Linked DNA regions of Saccharomyces cerevisiae S288C. Changing the gene in region 1 together with any one later gene gives a genetic interaction. Each region holds a gene or a part of one and is shown in the gene's direction. Other genes may lie near its edges.

What was found.
Region 2: mutations in ALT2 (region 1) and URK1 together harm fitness less than expected from each alone (positive genetic interaction), as found in Saccharomyces cerevisiae (one large-scale study listed by BioGRID).
Region 3: mutations in ALT2 (region 1) and YML003W together harm fitness more than expected from each alone (negative genetic interaction), as found in Saccharomyces cerevisiae (one large-scale study listed by BioGRID).
Region 4: mutations in ALT2 (region 1) and YBR298C-A together harm fitness more than expected from each alone (negative genetic interaction), as found in Saccharomyces cerevisiae (one large-scale study listed by BioGRID).

Annotation. Positions count from the first base shown.
Region 1 is NC_001136.10:676,015-682,010, reverse strand, and holds ALT2 (alanine transaminase ALT2), read left to right. Parts: upstream 1-2,246; coding exon 2,247-3,770; downstream 3,771-5,996. Other genes in the region: YDR114C (uncharacterized protein), read left to right, coding at 1-87; PDS1 (securin), read left to right, coding at 394-1,515; replication fork barrier binding protein FOB1, read right to left, coding at 4,209-5,909. UniProt on the Saccharomyces cerevisiae protein: Inactive alanine aminotransferase. Forms a catalytically active Schiff base with PLP, but lacks alanine transaminase activity, probably due to an altered structural conformation of the dimeric enzyme.
Region 2 is NC_001146.8:644,943-650,553, forward strand, and holds URK1 (uridine kinase URK1), read left to right. Parts: upstream 1-2,489; coding exon 2,490-3,995; downstream 3,996-5,611. Other genes in the region: DEAH-box RNA-dependent ATPase PRP2, read right to left, coding at 1-2,008; PHO91 (Pho91p), read right to left, coding at 4,086-5,611. UniProt on the Saccharomyces cerevisiae protein: Catalyzes the conversion of uridine into UMP and cytidine into CMP in the pyrimidine salvage pathway.
Region 3 is NC_001145.3:261,727-265,194, forward strand, and holds YML003W (uncharacterized protein), read left to right. Parts: upstream 1-1,756; coding exon 1,757-2,629; downstream 2,630-3,468. Other genes in the region: lactoylglutathione lyase GLO1, read right to left, coding at 1-959; VRL1 (Vrl1p), read left to right, coding at 2,815-3,468.
Region 4 is NC_001134.8:801,884-809,840, reverse strand, and holds YBR298C-A (uncharacterized protein), read left to right. Parts: upstream 1-4,584; coding exon 4,585-4,806; downstream 4,807-7,957. Other genes in the region: seripauperin PAU24, read right to left, coding at 422-784; alpha-glucosidase MAL32, read right to left, coding at 2,736-4,490; MAL31 (maltose permease), read left to right, coding at 5,366-7,210; transcription factor MAL33, read right to left, coding at 7,912-7,957.

The DNA of each region.
Region 1 (5,996 bases):
CGTTTCATGATTATGTATATATATGTATATATATATATCTATACAGTCTTAAGGAAGCGCTTAAGTTGTTACATGTTAATACTTTAGGGTTGGATTTATTTTACGGATAACATAGGATTTGCGAGAAATATCTGCTTCACTATCACTTTCCGTGCGACGTGTGTATTTGTTAGCGTAGGTTGCTTATCGTTTTCACACAAAGATCTCAAACGCGTCAAAAAACTCGTGTAAGAGGTCAAAAAGAAAAACAAACAAAATAAACAAACAAAATAAATGCAGCTTTAAATCAATATTCGGCGAAGGCAAGTAACGGTTGCTAGCGGTTTTTCCCATTCACATACTATTACACTTCTGCGGTACCAAGCTAGATTAAGTGCTAGATAATAAACCTTTATGATGCCAGCTAACGAAGATAAAGAGAATAATATCGTATATACAGGGAATGAAAGTTCCGGCATTAACTTTCCACAGACGCCGGCTCACTTGCTGAAAAGGTCGCACTCTAATATTTTAAAACCACCTGTAAGATTGGACCAACTCAAAAGGGATGCGAACAGCAACAATGGCAACACATTAAAGTACATACAAGGAGGGAAGGAGGTGTCACCCACAAAAAGGTTGCATACCCATGCGCAACAACAAGGAAGATTGCCTCTGGCAGCAAAAGACAACAATAGATCGAAAAGCTTTATTTTTCCCGAAACTTCTAATCAGAGTAAAGATGCAGACTTACCACAACTACAGAATACACTATCTATACGCAAAAACGACCAACTCAGGAAACTTTCGCAAATTTCTCGCAGTCGTAGTAGGGCCAACCATAATGATTTGTTAAGCAATTCAAGAAAGTTACAAAAGTACGGTTCTGTCCTTGGTTATAATGCTTTACCTAAAATGAAAAGTCTAGTTTTAAAAGATCTTGCAGATTCAGGTAAAAATGAAGAGAGTTCCGACGATGATGAAGGTAATGAAGATTCCGAGAGTAAACTTGGCAAAAAACTCCAAAGTGCACTTTTAAAACAGGATTCCTCCGACGGTGAAAATGAATTAAATGGTGGCCTAGGACTATTTAATGAGCAAGGTGGTCTGCAACAACTCATAAAGAACTCCACGAAGAATGAGCAAAAAACTAAAAACGATAAAAGTGATAAAACTGATGACTATGATATCGAAATAGCACCACAGAGGCAGGAGCCGTTACCGTATGTACCAGAAGGCTATTCCCCATTTCAACAAGATGATATTGAAAAGCTGAAGACGTTCAACTCACCATATAAGCTTGACTTGGAAGACGAAGATGACACCCCAGATAAAGTTGATTTACTCCCACTAGAACAAATTGATGAAGAAGGCGAAAAAGATGAGACTGAGTGCATCACTCGGAATCAAGAAGAAGGTGCAGCGTTACCACTGCTGTCTAAGAACTTCAAAGAAGTTGCCGCCGTCCCAACCATGGAGTTAGTGTACAGCGAAGAAGGCCTCGATCCTGAAGAACTAGAGGACTTAGTTACTTAGATCCACTGCTCATTCACATACACACAACATATATACACGTATATACAGATACTTTATAACATACAATTCTGGTTAAAAGCGGTTGCTCCTGCCGCCGGGATTTAATCTGCGGCCTCACCCATACCTCAACTACCGCCATTGTTCGTACGTTTTAAATGGCTTCGCTTCACCCTTGATTGGCAAAGGGTCCAAGAGGGATCACATCACGATACTATTGTTTCTACTAATGTGCTGCGGGCTGATGTCCTCCACACGTCTTCAATTGCTTCTCTTTATGGGTTCTCAAAGTACTTCGTCATAATTACTTCATTATACCTAAGAAAATAATTTCATTTTTTTTCTGAATTTTTTAGCAGAAAAAAAAAAAGTTCAAGTTTGGCCTCATTCGCAATATTTTCTCCATGGAAACGGCTTGTATCTTGAGGCTTCTCCTACTTGTTTGGCGATTTTATTTTATTTTTCCTACTCTTATGGTCCCATATGTACATCTACATATCTCTTCAAATTACCAATACACTTTTAGGATAGCTAAATTTACTACTTCGTGTGGGAACTATATTCTGTTCACTTTTCTTTTTGATCCTTTCTTGACTGACATCATCCTTTTCTCATTCAGTAAATACCCCAATATTTCCTCATATCTCTAGAGGCATAAAAGATAAGAATAAAGGGAAGGAGCGCCACAGTAGTGTTGTTTTTGTAAGTGGTAAACACAGAAGAAGTAAGAACACATGACAATGACACACCAACAGGATTTGAAAGGTGTGTTCACCGCAAAGGATTTGGATTTTAAGCCCGCTGGCAAGATTACTAAAAAAGATTTGAATACAGGTGTCACTAAGGCAGAATATGCTGTAAGAGGAGCTATTCCAACCAGAGCTGACGAGCTAAAAGAGGAATTGAAAAAAAACCCAGAAGTTTTGCCTTTCGATGATATTATCAATGCGAACATTGGTAATCCGCAGCAACTGGATCAGAAGCCTTTGACCTTTACCAGGCAAGTACTGGCCATCCTGGAGTACCCGGAAATTTTACGAGTAGGCCATAATGAACTGGCTTCTTTGAACTTGTTTTCCAGGGACGCCTTGGAAAGAGCTGAGCGCCTCTTGAATGATATTGGCGGTTCTATAGGGGCATATTCGCATTCTCAAGGTGTGCCAGGAATAAGGCAAACAGTTGCTGACTTCATTACTAGAAGAGACGGCGGTGAGCCCGCTACACCGGAAGATATTTATTTAACCACTGGCGCTTCGTCCGCGGCAACTTCTTTGTTATCTTTATTGTGTAAAGATTCTCAAACAGGCCTGCTGATTCCAATTCCGCAGTATCCGCTTTATACTGCATCCGCATCTCTTTTCAATGCACAAGTGCTGCCATACTACTTAGATGAGGAGTCAAATTGGTCTACAAACAGCGACGAAATTGAAAAAGTAGTGCAAGATGCTTTGAAAAAACAGATCAGACCATCTGTGCTGATAGTTATTAATCCAGGTAACCCAACCGGTGCAGTTCTTTCTGAAGAAACCATTGCCAGGATCTGTTTGATCGCTGCGAAATACGGCATTACAATCATTTCTGATGAGGTCTATCAAGAAAACATTTTCAACGATGTTAAATTTCATTCGATGAAGAAAGTCCTAAGAAAATTGCAGCATCTTTATCCAGGAAAATTCGATAACGTTCAGCTCGCCTCTTTACACTCCATTTCTAAAGGATTCATGGATGAGTGCGGCCAAAGAGGCGGTTACATGGAAATTATTGGGTTTTCTCAAGAAATAAGAGATGCTCTTTTCAAACTCATGTCTATATCCATATGTTCTGTTGTCACAGGACAAGCTGTGGTTGATTTAATGGTCAAACCACCCCAGCCTGGAGACGAGTCCTATGAACAAGATCATGACGAAAGGCTGAAAATTTTTCATGAAATGCGTACGAGAGCAAACTTATTGTACGAGACGTTTAAGGAACTAGAGGGTATCGAATGCCAAAAACCTCAGGGTGCAATGTATCTTTTCCCTAGGCTTGTTTTACCTAAGAAAGCTCTTTGTGAAAGCGAACGCCTTGGCATCGAACCTGATGAGTTCTATTGCACATCTTTGCTAGAATCTACAGGTATTTGTACTGTCCCAGGGTCTGGGTTCGGACAAAGACCCGGGACTTATCATGTGCGAACAACGTTTTTGGCTCCAGGGACTAAATGGATTCAAGACTGGAAAGAATTTCATCAAGATTTCTTCAGCAAGTATCGTAATTGAATGAAAAAAAAAAACTAATGATAATGGCTTTCTATTTGTTTTGCATCCATGGTGGGGGTGAAGTTTAAATTTGTAATAGTATACATGCATCATTCTTTACTAAGGGAAATAAGGAAAAGTATATATCTGCCTCTTGTAATATTGTTCAAGGAAATAAATTTTGGAGCATTCCTCTGCATCTATTGTTCAATTAAAAAAAAAAAAAAAAAAAAAAAAAAAAAAAAAAAGTAATTATTCATATAAAACCACCTTGCGGGCAAGATCATATTATCCAAGTTGATACTTATTTAAAAATATAAAAATTTTTTAACCGCGTACATTAAATACAGGGTCATATACAGGAAGAGCTTTCAACACCTTTTTGAATACTTTATATGCAATAGGTGCTTTTTTTTTTCACCTATGGTGACTCCTCCTTTCATTCTATCCTACATATTATTACAATTCCATTGATGTGCCAAAGTCTCTTGTTTGATCTCCATTACCCTGTTGGTCTAATTTCTGTCGTTTTGTTGACGGCGATTCCAGAGTTTGATAGTAGGAAGTTTCTGGTCTAGTTATTTCGACACTTTGATCTACTTGTGATGCACCGTCACTTTCTTTTTGATCCCCTTTTTCAGGCTCTTCTGTTCCCTGCATTGGGGCTGCCACGCCGGTGGACTCTATTCGGTCCTCATCGACATTATGAGGAGGCTTTTCTTCGGGAGTTAAGGTATTAGGTTCAAATTCGCCCTCTGAAGAATCATGTGCCAAATCATCATACTCATCGATATAGTTTTTTTCAGTTAGATCAAATTGTTTTTGCACTTCTTCTTCAAAGTTATCATTTCCTATATTGTTATTATGAAGAATTCCATTATTGTTACAGCTATTATCCGCTTCATTAGCAAGGGCAAAAGTATTGACATCTTCCAAATATATAAGACCTTTTCCACCTGCCATCTTGAACATATTACGGGAATATGTGTTTTCTATAACCCTTTCTCTCTTAGTCTCAAACTTGGCATTGTGACCTGGAACTTCACTAAGTAGTACTTGCACAGGTTTACGTTTCGTTCTCTTATTTCTCCTTCGGTTGAATCTGTAAGGGCCATATCTTAGGCACTTACCCCAATCGGCTAGACATTCCTTCTTATAACTATTTAGAGCATACTGAATGCACAGTATACCCCCAGTATGAAATCTCGCAGAACTCTTCAAACCCAAGCCAATACGGAGACCGTATTTTGATGCAATTTCTTCACAAATATCATAAAGATCATCTTTATCTAAAGTGCTTGATGTTACGAAAATTGGAACCCTAGCAAATGTTAAAAAAAGTGAGGAAACAACTGGGATAAGATGTTTGAATTTGGTACTCTTAAGTGGTAATAACCACATAAAACTAGAGCGATAGTCTCGGCATAAAAGGACATAAGAATATTTTCCCTCAATAGCTTCTCCATTGAAGGGTTCGAATACCTCAATATGTATCCTTTCCATTGGTAGTAGTTTATCGTACATGTCAGGACGTTTATATTCCTTCAATGGTTTAATTTTGCCCTTTTTATTACATTTTGAACAAAATTGCTGGACCCAATCGATGATGGCATGACTAATATTGGCAAAATGAGAAAATAAAAAGGAATGTAATGTTTTACCCCTAAGATGCTTATTCATCAAGTGTGTTGCCATCACCATGTCGTATACATGCTTTGGCTCACAGTATATTTTATCATTATTTCGGCCATCTCTAACATTTCCTTCATCATCAACATAATACTGTCTTTGCAAAAATAACAGCTTGTTTTCTGCCACTACACCATCGTATTTATCACTTATTTGTTGCAAGGTATCTGCAGTTAAAGATTTTGTTTTTATTAGTTCATATATTTTCTGCGTTAGTTGTCTTGTCAGAGATTCAAGAAAGATTGGTGTTTCTCTTTCTCCCCTTTCCAATAATTCTAAGTTCAAATAAGAGTCTACGTACTCAGTATATGATTCCCCCATAGAGGGAAGTATCAGTAGACGATCTTTTGAGGACTCTCTTGATTCCCCAGGTGACGTTGCCTTTCTTCTCTGCGATTTCCTCGTAACTGATTCTGATGGTACCGAGTCATCATCATCAAACAACACGTCATTGTAACGCGGTTTCGTCATTGTTATCCTCAGCACAAATTCACACTCACACAATCGTTAAATTGTTCTCCCCCCTGAAGGCTTAATTCAATGTCGTTAAAATGAATA
Region 2 (5,611 bases), on another chromosome or scaffold:
CTTCTAGTACACCTTGACATTGTTCGTGCGTAGCAGCTGTATAAAGCACTTTTGCAAATTCAGGTTCACAAGGAAACTCGCACATCATTTTACCTAACCGAGTGATTGTCCCTTTGCTATTTAAGGCACCTAAAATGTATAAATTTTCCAAAGACTTCCGTAATGTGGGGATACTGGGCTTATCCATCAGGGGAAACTTTATTAGGTCAGTAACGCCAAGCGATAATAATAATAACACCGTATTAGAAAGATTTGTTCTTGTGATCTCAGGCTTAGGCATAAGTTCCAACTCGTGCAAATATGACCATTTGGTAAAAATTCTAAAACATTTTCCCGGCCCAACACGACCAGCCCTACCGGCACGCTGATCAACTGAAGCTCTTGAGCATGGAACTGTTAAAAGTTGGGTCATTCCAGTGGAGGGTACGTACGAATTTTCCTTAACAAATCCAGGATCAATGACATATCTAATACCATCAATGGTCAATGAAGTTTCCGCAATATTAGTTGCCAAAACAACTTTCCTACAATTTTCCGGAGTCGGCTGGAAAATTTTCAATTGCTGCTCTTGGGGTAAATTTGCGTATATAGGAGTTATAATCATTTGTTTTGTTCTAGAACCTAATTTAGACATGATCTCCTCCAGTTTGGTTTTTGTTCTTTCAATTTCTTCTTGCCCCGTTAAAAACACCAATATATCCCCCGGTAAACTTTGCGTAGTATGAATTTGAAAAATAGTTGTTATAGCGGCATGTATATAGTTTGCCTCCGGCTGTAATGTGTAGTGGATATCTACAGGATATCTTCTCCCAGGAACGTTGAAAATGGGACAATTATCAAAAAACTCTGAAAATTTTTTTGCGTTCATTGTTGCTGATGATATAAGCAATTTTAAAGTGGGCCTCTGCGGCAAAATATCTTTCAGCAAACCTATCAGGATATCTGTGGCTAGAGTACGTTCATGAGCTTCATCAATCATAATACAAGAATATTTGCTTAATTTGGAATCTGTAAGAAATTCTCTTAGTAACATACCATCCGTCATATACTTTAGAACCGTTTTATTTGGGGTTGTTTTGTCTTCAAAACGGATCTGATAACCCACTTCCTTCCCAAGCACAACATTCATTTCATCTGCTACTCTTGCAGCAACAGAAGTGGCCGCCACACGACGTGGTTGTGTTATGGCAATCTGTAACTTTCCCTGATCAGTGAATCCATCTTCTACCAAATATTGGGGTAACTGTGTGGTTTTACCAGAACCGGTTTCACCCATTATAATCAAAACTTGATTTTTTTTGATCTCTTGTAGTAGCTCATCCTTGTATTGATGTACAGGCAAAAGTTTTCTTGCCTCTTGTATAGTCAGTATACGCTTTTCCTCAGTTTCTAAAGCTTGTGCTAGACGTGCCTCATATTGAAGTTTCTCTTCAGGTAGTAAATCGTCCTCCTCATTAGTATAATCAATCATTGCATCTGTGTCGAACACATAATCGTACTTGTCAGAGCCTTCCAATGTTATATCATCAGGGTGATCGCTTTGCCCCGCCATAGCATTTCGCAATTGTTGTTCTTCCCACATGCGTTGTCTGTTTATTTTGTCAATTTCTTTTGCATTCTTTATTTTATGAGTAACTTCTACGTTAAATTTAGAATTAGAAGAGGCGTACTTAGTTTCATTCTCGGAGTCACCTAGTAGACCCTTCTTTGTAGTAAGTTCATTATTTGACGTTATTTTTTCATCATACTTTGATGACTTTTTTTGTGATCCAAGTTGTTCTCCTTTTAAATTGTTCTTTTCTGGACCTTGGTTCGTATTAGAAAAAACTTTATTGGGGTCATAGCGTGATCGTTTTAGCTGCAAGGCAGAGTTCTTATCCTTGGCCTCTTTGTCTTCTTCCTCACCCAAGGAAGAAGGCTCTATTCTTACTGCATTGTCATTCTGTCTTGTAACTTCATACGTTCGTTTCACTCTTCGCTTACCGGTTTCAGATGTAATACTTGACATGTGTTGCTATACACGCTTGTTATCTATATAGATGCCAATTAAACATATAGCAGCTATCCGTTATTACTTATACAATTGATTAATATCACTTTTTAATTGTCCGGGTAACTAACTGTCTTCCACTTTCAGCACGTTCTCGTCATCAGGTTGTATGGGCTAGTACTGTTTTGGCTACATTTGAGATACGAGCACTTAAAGAATTCTTGCATATTTTCGATGATTAGTCTTTAATTTTCCCACTTGTTCTCACTATTTCCTCTATTGTCTTAATACGCTCACATATCGAAGTTTTTTTTTCATGCGATGAGCTTCGAGATGAAAAAAGGAAACTGAAAAATTTAGATCGATAAGATAAGAGATGTGATTTTTTTTTTTTTTCGTAAGGCTGTAGGCCTTGGATAACGTCTTATTTACTATTTATATGCGACATCTTCGATAATTTCATACGTTTAATTTCGAACTCGCATTTATTTTATTTATTATGTCCCATCGTATAGCACCTTCCAAAGAACGATCTTCATCATTTATTTCAATTTTAGACGATGAAACAAGAGACACATTGAAAGCTAATGCAGTCATGGATGGTGAAGTAGATGTCAAAAAAACAAAAGGAAAAAGCTCTCGGTATATCCCACCATGGACAACTCCATATATAATAGGTATAGGTGGTGCTTCAGGTTCAGGCAAGACAAGCGTTGCTGCTAAGATTGTGTCGTCAATTAATGTTCCCTGGACAGTATTAATATCTTTGGATAACTTTTACAATCCATTAGGCCCAGAGGACAGAGCCAGAGCCTTTAAAAATGAATACGATTTCGACGAGCCAAATGCCATCAACTTAGATTTGGCATATAAGTGCATTTTGAACTTAAAGGAGGGCAAAAGGACAAATATCCCAGTTTATAGCTTCGTCCACCACAATAGAGTTCCTGATAAAAATATAGTCATATACGGGGCCAGTGTGGTAGTTATCGAAGGGATCTACGCCCTTTACGATCGCCGATTGCTGGATTTGATGGACTTGAAAATTTATGTTGACGCTGATTTGGATGTCTGCTTAGCAAGAAGATTGTCGAGAGATATAGTTTCCAGAGGGAGAGATTTGGATGGTTGTATTCAACAATGGGAGAAATTTGTGAAACCAAATGCGGTAAAGTTTGTGAAACCAACAATGAAGAATGCAGATGCTATCATTCCATCGATGAGTGATAATGCTACAGCGGTAAATTTAATCATTAACCACATCAAGTCAAAACTGGAACTAAAATCAAATGAACACTTAAGAGAGCTAATCAAATTGGGCTCTTCTCCTTCACAAGATGTGCTTAATCGTAACATAATTCATGAATTGCCGCCCACCAACCAAGTTCTTTCGCTGCATACTATGCTTCTAAATAAAAATCTAAATTGCGCGGACTTTGTTTTCTACTTTGACAGGTTAGCAACAATTTTGTTATCATGGGCACTTGATGACATTCCTGTAGCACATACGAACATAATTACACCTGGTGAGCATACCATGGAAAACGTTATTGCCTGTCAATTCGATCAAGTTACAGCTGTTAATATTATTCGATCTGGCGATTGTTTTATGAAGTCTTTGAGAAAGACGATCCCCAATATCACAATTGGTAAATTGTTGATTCAGTCCGATTCACAAACTGGGGAACCTCAACTGCATTGCGAATTTTTACCCCCAAATATAGAAAAGTTTGGCAAGGTTTTCTTAATGGAAGGTCAAATCATAAGTGGTGCGGCCATGATCATGGCCATCCAGGTGCTTTTAGATCATGGTATTGATTTGGAAAAGATTAGCGTGGTGGTTTATTTGGCCACTGAAGTTGGTATCCGACGTATATTAAATGCATTTGATAACAAAGTCAACATTTTTGCTGGTATGATCATCTCCAGAGAAAAGTTACAAAATCATCAATACAAATGGGCATTGACCAGATTTTTTGATTCAAAGTATTTTGGTTGTGATTGAGAATAATTAGAGGCAATATAAAGTAAAATTAAATAATAGTGCACGTATACATACTATATTAGTAACCTTTCATTCTCTCTATGGATAATCTTAAAATCCCATTACTTTCAATATGCCATAACCTACTGTAACAATAGCGGCATAACTTAACAAACTGGCTGGTACACCTCTCGTAATAAATGTACCCACGGTCAAATATCTATCACCAACTTCATCAATCATTGAAATGGCAGTCACGTTGGGGAAACCAGAGGTTGGAAGACCCATAGCACTAGAGCATAATAGGGCGGCTATAACGATCAATAGTCTAGAATGATCACCTGAAGGTAGATTGGAACCGATCTCACTCATTAATGGTACGATGATCATTGCCGCGACGGTATGGGAGACAAAAGTGGCCATTACAAGAATCACTAGACCGAAGATCAACACAATAATGAAGATTGGTTCATGCTCAACCTGCGCCTTAATTAACTGTGCCATTGTAGACAATAAACCGGATGAGCTTACCGCCTTACCTAGGGTGGTACCTCCCATGGCCAAAACAACGATTGTCCACATGAAATTATTGAAATCATCCGAAGTTAGAAGACCTGTACCGAAGAAGACTACTATAGGTATAATAGATATGATTCCCATTTCACCAAAGATACCGGAGATTTGGTTTGAAAGACACCAAAGAACAATTGTTATAATGCAAACTAAAGTGACAAACCATTGCTTCAGAGTGAATGGATCACGGGATGGATGCAATTGCAAAATTTTCACATTTGGCTCAGGAGGGAAGGTTATGATCAATAGCACCCAAATTGCCATGACACAAATAAAGCACACAGGTAGCGCAATCATAAACCATTCAGCCCAAGATGGTGAAGGGTCCATTATACCAATAGAAAAAATGTTTTGAGGAGAAGCGATGGGAGAAGACATACCACCGATATTGGAGGCAAGAGCGATACCAAGAATTAGAGCTTTGGCATAGGAACAATTTCTTGGCAGTGTTCTGAGCAAAGGTTGAACAATTGAATAGCAAAGAACGGGGGCAGCAACATTAGAAACCCACATGGAAACAAAGAGCGCCACAAACATATTTGTTAAAAGAATAAAATGTGGGTTTGTACCGGCGGATGCCAAAATATGCGTAGAAAGGACTTTGGCAATGTTGTACTTGGAAAGGGCGGCTGCTAAAGTAAACCCACCCAGCAAAAGCATGATGACACTCGACCACATCGTTGATAAGATGAACTGAGAGGAATCACGGGGAGACATTGGTTGGGAGGTGATAGGGTCCTTGATAACAGGGAACACTACAATAAGCAGAGGAATCATTAGAGAAGTCACGAAAAGGGGGATGGTCTCAGTGGCCCATAATAAAGATGCATATATTAAGATGGCGAAACAGTTTTTCTGTAAGGAATCCTGCGTAAAAGGAGTCAAATTAAAAGTTAATAATGCAATGAAACATGAGGTGATTAACAGAAACTTCAGCAGGGAAGTTTGGCCCATGATAAATTGCAACCATTGCTTGGGTGGTAAATGCATGAGTTCACGGAAAGTTAGGGAATCCGTTGATGGAGCGATGATACCGGCGCCACCACTCGACATTGCCATGGATT
Region 3 (3,468 bases), on another chromosome or scaffold:
ACGACTTCAATGGAATAACCATCAGGATCCTTCAAAAAGGCAATATTCTTCATTCTGCCTTGGTTAAATTTAGGAGACCATTGGATCTTATCGCCGTATTTCACTTCAATTTCTTTACAAAGGGCGCCAGCGTCATCACAACTTATGCAGATGTGACCATAACCCTGGGGCTCTGAGTTACCGTTATGATAGTGGAAGTTTGGATCATTCTCAGTTCCCCAATTATGAGTTAACTCCAACACACTTTCACATGAAAAAACGCTGTCGGTCTTTGGAACGCCATAACCAAGAAAGTATAACGTAAATTTTGCACTTTCGTGCTCACTAGTTCTTAATAATTTCATGCCCAACACATTCTGGTAGAATTCTAAAGACCGGGTTGGGTTTTTAATACGAATCATGGTATGATTGAACTTGTTACCTACTGAGCCCTTTGGGTATTCCTGACCCTCTCTAGAATATGTGATCAACTCAATCCAGTATCCATCAGGGCCTAAAGCAAACGCAATGTCCTTCTGTCTTCCTTCAGAGAGTCTCTTCTTGAATTTGACACCCTGAGATTCTAGCTCTTCGCAGGTTTTATTGATATCGGATACAGAAAAACAGATGTGCCCAAATCCACGATGAGGTTCCTCATTCCCGTTGTTGATCTTGTAGTCTGGGTTTTTTTCAGTACCCCAATTGTGAGTTAGTTCTAAGACACCGTGTGCGCTAAAAACATCAGGCTCTCCATTCTTATTTTTGGGTATGTCGTCTTTTGGAAAGCTTAAAAAGTACAAGCTAAATTTTGCTTCTTCAAAATCCTTTCTGCTTAATAGCTTCATACCGAAGTGTTCGGTGTAGAACTTAACGGTCCTTGCTGGATCCTTGACTCTTAAACATGTGTGATTAAGCAGAAGGGTTGGATCATTCGAGGCTTTCTCAATCTGAATTGGATAGCGTGTACTATCAGTGGACATTGTTAGTTTGTAGCTGGTGGCGTATCTGGTCTGAAGTGTCAAAAAAAAGGCATGGAAATGTTATTCCGATTTTTTTTCTCCCTATTTATAAACGTCACTAACTAGAAATACGGGATATCAACTACTACGAGAGAGGGACATTCTAGTATCAAAGAAACTTACTATGACGCAGTTTAGGATCCCTGTGGTGACTACGTATCCAGGTCTACTACTCCATCGTAAAGCCCCTTGTTTATTCAGTGTCCAGATCATATGCGGGATGTGTATTTTGTGCTGAGTGGAAAAATAAGATCATATGCTCAAGAATAAAGGGTTAAAGGGTATGGAAATTTCAGTTCTCCCTGGCTCAAGAACATTGTCAGTATTCCTATAACTGAAGCTGAGTGGTACTAATGCACCGAGATGCAAAGTCCGAACCACCCCCACCCCCCTCTTTACCTATTTTTTATATTTTGTGATAAAGGGATAACTCGTCTTGCCTTCACTGCGCTTCGATTCTACTTTAGCTAAACTAAGCGTTACTTTGTTTGAGAATCTCTCAGCCGTTAAATCAACGTACTTGTATACTAAACAGTATATTCACGTGATAACTTTGCCTTACACCTATGATATAGATAAATATATACATATATATGAGTGTGTGTGCATTGCGTCACTAAACTATGTTTAATATGACAGAAGGTTTTCGTTTAATTTTGCCGCTACCCGAAAATTTTGGCAGTTGCAATTTATAACTAAAGGAACCACCTTATTGTAAATTCCTCAACGGAAAAGCTATGGCTTAGCTAGGGTTGACAATGTCAGTTTACCATTTACCAACGCTGTTGAACCCGCTGGTTAATGCTATATTTAACTGTCCCGAACCAGAAAGATCCCCATTGAAAAAGCTTTTCGCTAATTTAAAAACCCGTAGGTTTATCCTCCTAGCACCTCCTTCAGAATACCTTTTGAATTACCACGATGTCAAGAGCAAACTGCCGTTACATGACCTCTGTTATAATGCAGAGTTTATTAACTCTTACATATTGTTAATGACTGAAAACTCTTACATAAATACGAATTCAAGGGACAGTCATTATGAAACGTTAGATGGTAAGACCGTTGTTATTCAATGGAAGAATAATGTGATCCATGCCTTAAATGGATTTCATATAAGGCGAAGACTAAAGATTCTAGAGACAAAAATATTACCCAATTTTAATGACTACTTTGAAGGGGCGGCTGATTTTATCATACTATTCATAGATCAACCTTTAAATTGCGAATTTGTACCTAACGACTACTTACAGTGTTTTCACAATTATGAGAAAATACCAAAAAATGCACATGCTATGCCAAATCTGTCGATAGATTCTTTTCAGCAAGAAAGATCGTCATTCGAGAATATATTGCACATTCATCCTGCTCGATTAACACAGCTTGGCCAATTGTTTTCGAGTTACAGAACGCTCGCTCCTGGTGATGATCCATCTAGAAGTATTTTTGAAAGCATCGTGCAACAAGCATTTGATGGAATGAAATCGGATTCACTTTTCAAGAACTTTTCTAATCTTTACGATCTTATACACGACTATTTTGAACTAAATCTTTACGATGATATATGGTCTAGGCTTACTACACATTTCAAAGGCCACGAAGTAGACACTGAAAAAATAAATATTTTTCAGTGAACCAGTTGTTGACAGATTTTTACTCAAAAGATTATGGGGAATTTAAATTACACGACATCACTCTTATTGAAAGGCGTCTCCATCTAGCGTCCAAACATCTTCAAAAGTTGGCTTTGACCCATTCATACGCTGAAAAATCTAAAATATTAGTTGAAACTCTACAGAAATTATCAGGTACTACCGAAATGGATTCACATCAACTAGAACTACCAGACGGATTGAATAACATGACGATGGATGCAGACACTTTAATTAGCCTTTTTGTGCTCGTTGTTTGCAGAAGTGAACAAAAGCACCTTAAAAGTCATCTTTACTATTTGCAAAATTTTTCGAATAACTCTTCTTCTACAAAATTCGGCATTCTAGGGTATGCTGTATCCACACTGGAAGCAGTGGTTTGTTATTTCGAAGACTTCAACAAAAATACAGGCAACGTGGCGAAAGCTAACACATTATGTGAAAAAACTAAGAATTTATTAGATAAGTTGTCATGTGAAAACCCCACAAATGAAGTAGAAGATCTGGCAACATACAAGGATATTTTGACCTACAGAAATGAGCAAGGACAATCCATTCTATCCATATGTATAACAAATCATAAAAACTACATCTTATTAGATATTCTTTCTGAATATGAAAACGACTTTCCAGTAGAAGACCTTTTAGAGGACGAAACGATTGATGGTTCTACGCTGCTTATAGAATCGATAAAAGCAGGAAATTTAGAAGCCGCGAAAGTTCTCATAAAGATCATGCTGTTCAATTGTACTGAAGAGGAGCTGGTTTCTTATATCAATAAAACAGATAAATATGCACGTACCGTGGCTCATTATCTAACC
Region 4 (7,957 bases), on another chromosome or scaffold:
GACGACTCCGGGCCGATCGATGCCCTGAAAAAAAAAAAAAAAAAAATAAAGGCGACCTCGTTTAAGGTGAATATGGAAGAAAATGGTTATATAATTGCTTGAACATTTGTCGTTATATATTAACAATAGCATCAACCGGTTTACTAGCAAGTGAGTCTAAAATATGATTTTTTAACATAGATATTGATGACCCATGTCGTTGAAGTGGACACACATCGAAGAATACCACAAAAGGAAGAGAGGATTCTTGTCCTTGCTCCGCCAAGTTGTTCATAAATATCACGATTGACCAGTAGTAACAATATTAATATACACTTACATATAATCAACTATTTATACTATCAAAAAAAAAAAAAGCTTTTTTTTTTTTTTCCGTTATTTCTTAAGGTTTATGGAATTTCATTCGTAAAGGCATCAGTCTCTAGTTTGCGATAGTGTAGATACCGTCCTTGGATAGAGCACTAGAGATGGCTGGCTTTAATCTGCTGGAGTACCATGGGACACCGGTGATCATTCTGGTCACTTGGTCTGGGGCAATACCGGTCAACATGGTGGTGAAGTCACCGTAGTTGAAAACGGCTTCAGCGATTTCAACTGGGTAGGTTTCAGTTGGATGAGCGACTTGGAAAGAGTAGTATTGGGCCAAGTGAGCTCTGATATCAGAGACGTAGACACCCAATTCAACCAAGTTGACTCTTTCGTCAGATTGAGCTAGAGTGGTGGTTGCGGAAGCAGTAGCAGCGATGGCGGCAACACCAGCAGCGATTGAAGTTAGTTTGACCATTGTATTTGTTTTGTTTTTTAGTGCTGATGTAAGCTTAACAAGAAATAGTGAAATGAAAGCGCATACCTCAAAGATGGATAGCTACAGCAGCTCTATTTATATGAATGTCTTGCCAACTTCCCTGGCACAAACGAGTTATCATCTGGCACCCATCTCTCACCTAAAATGCCTCAGTGTACAATTTTCATCCCACATTCATTATTCATATTATTACGGTGCTTCTGTACTTGAACGATGCGTCTTTCATAGGTCCCGTATACGAGGCGCACGCTTCATAGTGCCTATACCTTTTATTGCATTTCCAAGGCACAAGAATGTTTTCTCACAGTGTACATACTTCCGAAGAATCCCTTTAGGGTGCCTTCAGAGATGCAGCTGCAGCTTTTGGCCAAGAAAAAGCCAAAACCAAATTTGCTTTGAACCCTCGTTAAGAGGCCACCTAATCTTTGTGCTCTAAACGGTTGCTACGGGAAAATTGTCGATTCTGTTTTTCTTAAAATAGAAAGTGAAAGACTTATCGAATACCGGAGTCGTATATTGTAGGTGCCTACAGTCTTATACACTGCCAGCAAAAATGTTGACAAGAATAAATGAGCATTCGAGGTGCTACGAAGCCCTAGTTCTGAAACAGCGGAACTTCCACTGGATCAAGCTGGCCATACCGGAAACTATACCGGAAATTGATAAATCAACATCTTAATAAGTATTATATAATTTTTTTTGTAATACTAATAATCGGAGAACAGCACCAGCGCTTCGTATGTTAGGCAACGGTTGCCGCCTAGGTCTACGTTTCTCTATTCATTATATGGTAAGTGAAGGAGACAAAAAGTGGCGGCTTACATACAGAACTTCTATCCTATGGATGTACCTGCAGTCTTTCTGTTTGGATGAAATTGATAGAGGGCTTAGTGTTACTAATACAGAAAGCCTTTAAGCCTTTTTCTCCCTTTTATTCACCGTTTCAATATGTCTATCATTCTGGTCATGTGTTTTTCTTCCAGGAATTTACAATTATTACAGCGATAAGTAATCATACGTATCCAGATTATAGGCCCGTTGCTGAAGAATAACTACACTTCTCTGATATATAGTTATAGCTCAATAACTAATGGCATAGGGGACACAGATTTTCGTAGTCAAATTTCTCAAAGGATAAGAGCGTCATTCCACCTCTTCTCTTCACTTCGTTGGCTTTTATATATTGATTGTGGGGTGTTAATGTTGTAGAGTTACCGAAGTAGCAAGATTCTTATGCGCTTATTTTCTTTTGCTTAATCACACTGTCTAAAGCATATGGATTATGGACAGATGATTGGTTTAGTTCATCTGAAGGCTAGACAATAAAAGGCGGGTTCGGAAGGGGGTAGGCATGCTCAGACTTGACGTAAACGCATAAGCCGGCAATGTTGAATCGATTTTGTAACTCGCCTGAGTGTTACATGAGATTACATATAGGATCGAACCATCACGAAATCAATTACGCTGTGTTATTGAATCATAAAATCACAGAGCTTCCCGAGAAAACGCTAAATTATGTGTCAAGTACTGTGGGCATCTCTTAACGCTATCTTATATTCATTTCACTTTTTATATCTAGTCCTTTTCTTTTCTTTATTAAATAAAACTACCACCTTGTATGATTCTTAGCAAGACATTCCAGCATTAATACCAGCACAGGTTTCTTCTCCCTTGTTTTCATCCGAAGAGAAAGGATAGTGCTTCTTATGCTTCATTAATAATTTGGAATTCACATTTATATACACGCTAAATATCATAATGAACGAGGATCATGTAGAAAAACACATTTACCCATAATGGTGAAACAAATTATCAACAGTGCTTTTACGTTATCATCATTTACATATAAAAAATTTATCTAACAAAAATCATGTGAAAAATCATCTGTTATTTCGTTAAAGTACGCGCTAAAAAAAAGTCGGCACTAATTTTATTTGACGAGGTAGATTCTACCTTCCCATGGTTTCAAAACTCTGGAGGAAACGTCAGTATCATCATAATTTCCAAGAATAAAAGATAAAGAAGCACCTTCTCTTGGGAGGCTGAATTCAATTTCTTCGCCACTGAAATTCAAAGCAGCAAACAGCGTCTTGTCTTCGTACTCTTTAGTGAAGCTAAAGATCTGGTCACTGTCTAAATCAATGAATTGGAAATCGTAACCATAAATCATAAGTTCCTTATATTTCTTTCTGGCTTGCAAGGCCCTTTTCCAAAAATTGAGAACTGAGTCATCATCTCTGGATTCCTGCTCAACATTGATTCCTTGCTCAAAAGATTCATTCAAGAAAAACCAAGGTTTAACATCTGGGCCAGTAAATCCAGCATTGGGCTTATCTTTCGTCCATGGCATGGGAGTTCTCGAATGATCTCTAGAAAGTAGGGCGATTCCTTTAAAAAAATCCTTCATTTCCTTCGAGTTTTTACCAAAACTTTTTTTGATAATCTCGTAGTTGTTTTTCACATCAACGTCCTCATACTTTTCAATAGGCCATTCCTTGAAATTGATCTGGCCTATCTCCTGACCTTGATAGACATACAACGTACCTGTCAATGAACATTCTAGCAATGTTAACAGCTTACCAGATATTTTACGGTACTTTGGCGAATCGTCAGCAAATCTCGTAATTGACCGGGCTTGATCGTGATTCTCGATGTAGGTGGTAGCCCAACTATCAGTACCGTTAATGAACAAAAAGTTCGATGCAATGGCTTCTTTCCATTGTTTCAAGGTGAAGGGCACTATGTTATAACGGAAAAATGGCGAGGTACCAAGTTCAACGTGCGTGAAGGAGAAAACTTCGCTGACTTCGTATCTAGCTGCACTGGTGTATAAAGCATTATCACTTCCATGGGCAACTTCACCGACTGTCATTATTTCTCTACCATCTTTCACCCTGTTTTTCATAAATCTGTGTAGTTCTTGATGATATTCATGAATCCTAGGACCATTGTGAGACCCCCAATTTGGATGTTGTAATTTCGAGGTTTTGTCAAAAATTGGGGAATCTGGTAAACCAGGACGTTTCGAATACAAACCAGCGGTATCGATTCTAAAACCATCTACACCATGGTCCAGCCAAAATCCAACAGCACTTTCAAAGATTGCCCTTCTGCAGTCTTCATTCTCCCAATTCAAGTCAACTTGACGACTCGCAAACAAACGGAGGTAAAATTCATTTGTAGTTTCATCAAAAGTCCAAGCTGAACCACCAAAGAAAGATTTCCAATTGTTTGGAGGAATTGGCTTGCCTTCGGCGTCATAACCTTTAGGAGGTCTCCAGAAGAACCAGTCACGCTTCGGATTGGTCTTCGAGGATCTGCTCTCTTTGAACCATTCGTGTTCTGTAGAACAGTGGTTGATAACCAAATCGGTGATGAATTTCATACCCAGCTTATGAGTCTTGTCAATTAGCTCAAAACAGTCCTCGTTGGTACCGTATGTGGGCCAGACCTTTTCGTAGTTAGATATATCATACCCCATATCTTGTTGAGGAGAGTCATAAAACGGACAAACCCAAATAGCATCAACGCCAAGATCTTTAATATACTGCAACTTGGAAGTGATACCTTTTAAATCACCCCAGCCATCGTTATTGGAGTCTTTAAAACTTGCTGGGTAAATTTGATAGATTGTGGCCTCTTTCCACCACTTTGGTTCTGTTTCTGGATGATCAGAAATAGTCATTTATGTATTTTAGTTACGCTTGACTGATGTACATTTGAGATTATCAAAAAAACTGCTTAAGAGATAGATGGTTTAATTTTTTAGAGACGTATTAATGGAACTTTTTATACCTTGCCCAGAGCGCCTCAAGAAAATGATGCTGAAAGAAGAATTGAGGAAGGAACTACTCATCTTACGTTGTTTGTATCATCCCACGATCCAAATCATGTTACCTACGTTAGGTACGCTAGGAACTGAAAAAAGAAAAGAAAAGTATGCGTTATCACTCTTCGAGCCAATTCTTAATTGTGTGGGGTCCGCGAAAACTTCCGGATAAATCCTGTAAACTTAAACTTAAACCCCGTGTTTAGCGAAATTTTCAACGAAGCGCGCAATAAGGAGAAATATTATATAAAAGCGAGAGTTTAAGCGAGGTTGCAAGAATCTCTACGGTACAGATGCAACTTACTATAGCCAAGGTCTATTCGTATTGGTATCCAAGCAGTGAAGCTACTCAGGGGAAAACATATTTTCAGAGATCAAAGTTATGTCAGTCTCTTTTTCATGTGTAACTTAACGTTTGTGCAGGTATCATACCGGCCTCCACATAATTTTTGTGGGGAAGACGTTGTTGTAGCAGTCTCCTTATACTCTCCAACAGGTGTTTAAAGACTTCTTCAGGCCTCATAGTCTACATCTGGAGACAACATTAGATAGAAGTTTCCACAGAGGCAGCTTTCAATATACTTTCGGCTGTGTACATTTCATCCTGAGTGAGCGCATATTGCATAAGTACTCAGTATATAAAGAGACACAATATACTCCATACTTGTTGTGAGTGGTTTTAGCGTATTCAGTATAACAATAAGAATTACATCCAAGACTATTAATTAACTATGAAGGGATTATCCTCATTAATAAACAGAAAAAAAGACAGGAACGACTCACACTTAGATGAGATCGAGAATGGCGTGAACGCTACCGAATTCAACTCGATAGAGATGGAGGAGCAAGGTAAGAAAAGTGATTTTGATCTTTCCCATCTTGAGTACGGTCCAGGTTCACTAATACCAAACGATAATAATGAAGAAGTCCCCGACCTTCTCGATGAAGCTATGCAGGACGCCAAAGAGGCAGATGAAAGTGAGAGGGGAATGCCACTCATGACAGCTTTGAAGACATATCCAAAAGCTGCTGCTTGGTCACTATTAGTTTCCACAACATTGATTCAAGAGGGTTATGACACAGCCATTCTAGGAGCTTTCTATGCCCTGCCTGTTTTTCAAAAAAAATATGGTTCTTTGAATAGCAATACAGGAGATTATGAAATTTCAGTTTCCTGGCAAATCGGTCTATGTCTATGCTACATGGCAGGTGAGATTGTCGGTTTGCAAATGACTGGGCCTTCTGTAGATTACATGGGCAACCGTTACACTCTGATCATGGCGTTGTTCTTTTTAGCGGCTTTCATTTTCATTCTGTATTTTTGCAAGAGTTTGGGTATGATTGCCGTGGGACAGGCATTGTGTGGTATGCCATGGGGTTGTTTCCAATGTTTGACCGTTTCTTATGCTTCTGAAATTTGTCCTTTGGCCCTAAGATACTATTTGACGACTTATTCTAATTTATGTTGGGCGTTCGGTCAACTTTTCGCTGCTGGTATTATGAAAAATTCCCAGAACAAATATGCCAACTCAGAACTAGGATATAAGCTACCTTTTGCTTTGCAGTGGATCTGGCCCCTTCCTTTGGCGGTAGGTATTTTTTTTGCACCAGAGTCTCCATGGTGGCTGGTTAAAAAAGGAAGGATTGATCAAGCGAGGAGATCACTTGAAAGAACATTAAGTGGTAAAGGACCCGAGAAAGAATTACTAGTGAGTATGGAACTCGATAAAATCAAAACTACTATAGAAAAGGAGCAGAAAATGTCTGATGAAGGAACTTACTGGGATTGTGTGAAAGATGGTATTAACAGGAGAAGAACGAGAATAGCTTGTTTATGTTGGATCGGTCAATGCTCCTGTGGTGCATCATTAATTGGTTATTCAACTTACTTTTATGAAAAAGCTGGTGTTAGCACTGATACGGCTTTTACTTTCAGTATTATCCAATATTGTCTTGGTATTGCTGCAACGTTTATATCCTGGTGGGCTTCAAAATATTGTGGCAGATTTGACCTTTATGCTTTTGGGCTGGCTTTTCAGGCTATTATGTTCTTCATTATCGGTGGTTTAGGATGTTCAGACACTCATGGCGCTAAAATGGGTAGTGGTGCTCTTCTAATGGTTGTCGCGTTCTTTTACAACCTCGGTATTGCACCTGTTGTTTTTTGCTTAGTGTCTGAAATACCGTCTTCAAGGCTAAGAACCAAAACAATTATTTTGGCTCGTAATGCTTACAATGTGATCCAAGTTGTAGTTACAGTTTTGATCATGTACCAATTGAACTCAGAGAAATGGAATTGGGGTGCTAAATCAGGCTTTTTCTGGGGAGGATTTTGTCTGGCCACTTTAGCTTGGGCTGTTGTCGATTTACCAGAAACCGCTGGCAGGACTTTTATTGAGATAAATGAATTGTTTAGACTTGGTGTTCCAGCAAGAAAGTTCAAGTCGACTAAAGTCGACCCTTTTGCAGCTGCCAAAGCAGCAGCTGCAGAAATTAATGTTAAAGATCCGAAGGAAGATTTGGAAACTTCTGTGGTAGATGAAGGGCGAAACACCTCATCTGTTGTGAACAAATGATTTTTTTAGCCAGTAGGTAGATACGGCGTTATTTAATTTTATTTTATATAACTAGTACTTAACACATCGAGTTTATTTTTACTCGACATTATGACTTTTTTTTGGTTTTGTTGCGGCTTTGAAGTTTTTTCAACTAGAGGTTATTATTTTGTTCTGAAAAAACGTTAATGATTTAAATGAATCATTGTGATGAGGGTCCTAGATTTAAATATCTTGCAAAAAGAAGTACTAATATACAATTTTTTCATTCCCGTTAATGAAAATGCTTGAATTTTTATATTGTATATTGATACACTCTATTCATGTTCCGGCAACAATTATTTTTTTTTTAATTCTGTAAATTTACTTTTTGACGTATTCTTTCAGCATTTCTGTGCTTATGTTAGAATTCAAGAGAGTATTCCCTATTCCTGGTAACGTAAATTCGCTTTGTAAATCAACGATACATGATTCTCATATCCCAACAAAAATGCCACAAAATTTATATTAGTAAGCTGCCCGCTTAAGTATATACTTAATGTAACTGTATATAGAATTATCATGACCATCAGAACTAAATATTACAAACAAGTAAGGCAGGAGTAGAATAATCTCGCCTGAAGAACATAGCTTCTTACACCCTCGAAAAGCAAGACTTAAGAATATCACTCACACTCTATCAGTATATCTATCTCGTATAAGTGAACGGCGTGAACAATAAATTAAGGAATTATGTCGTCTTCATCTTTGGAATCATCATTTAGGCGC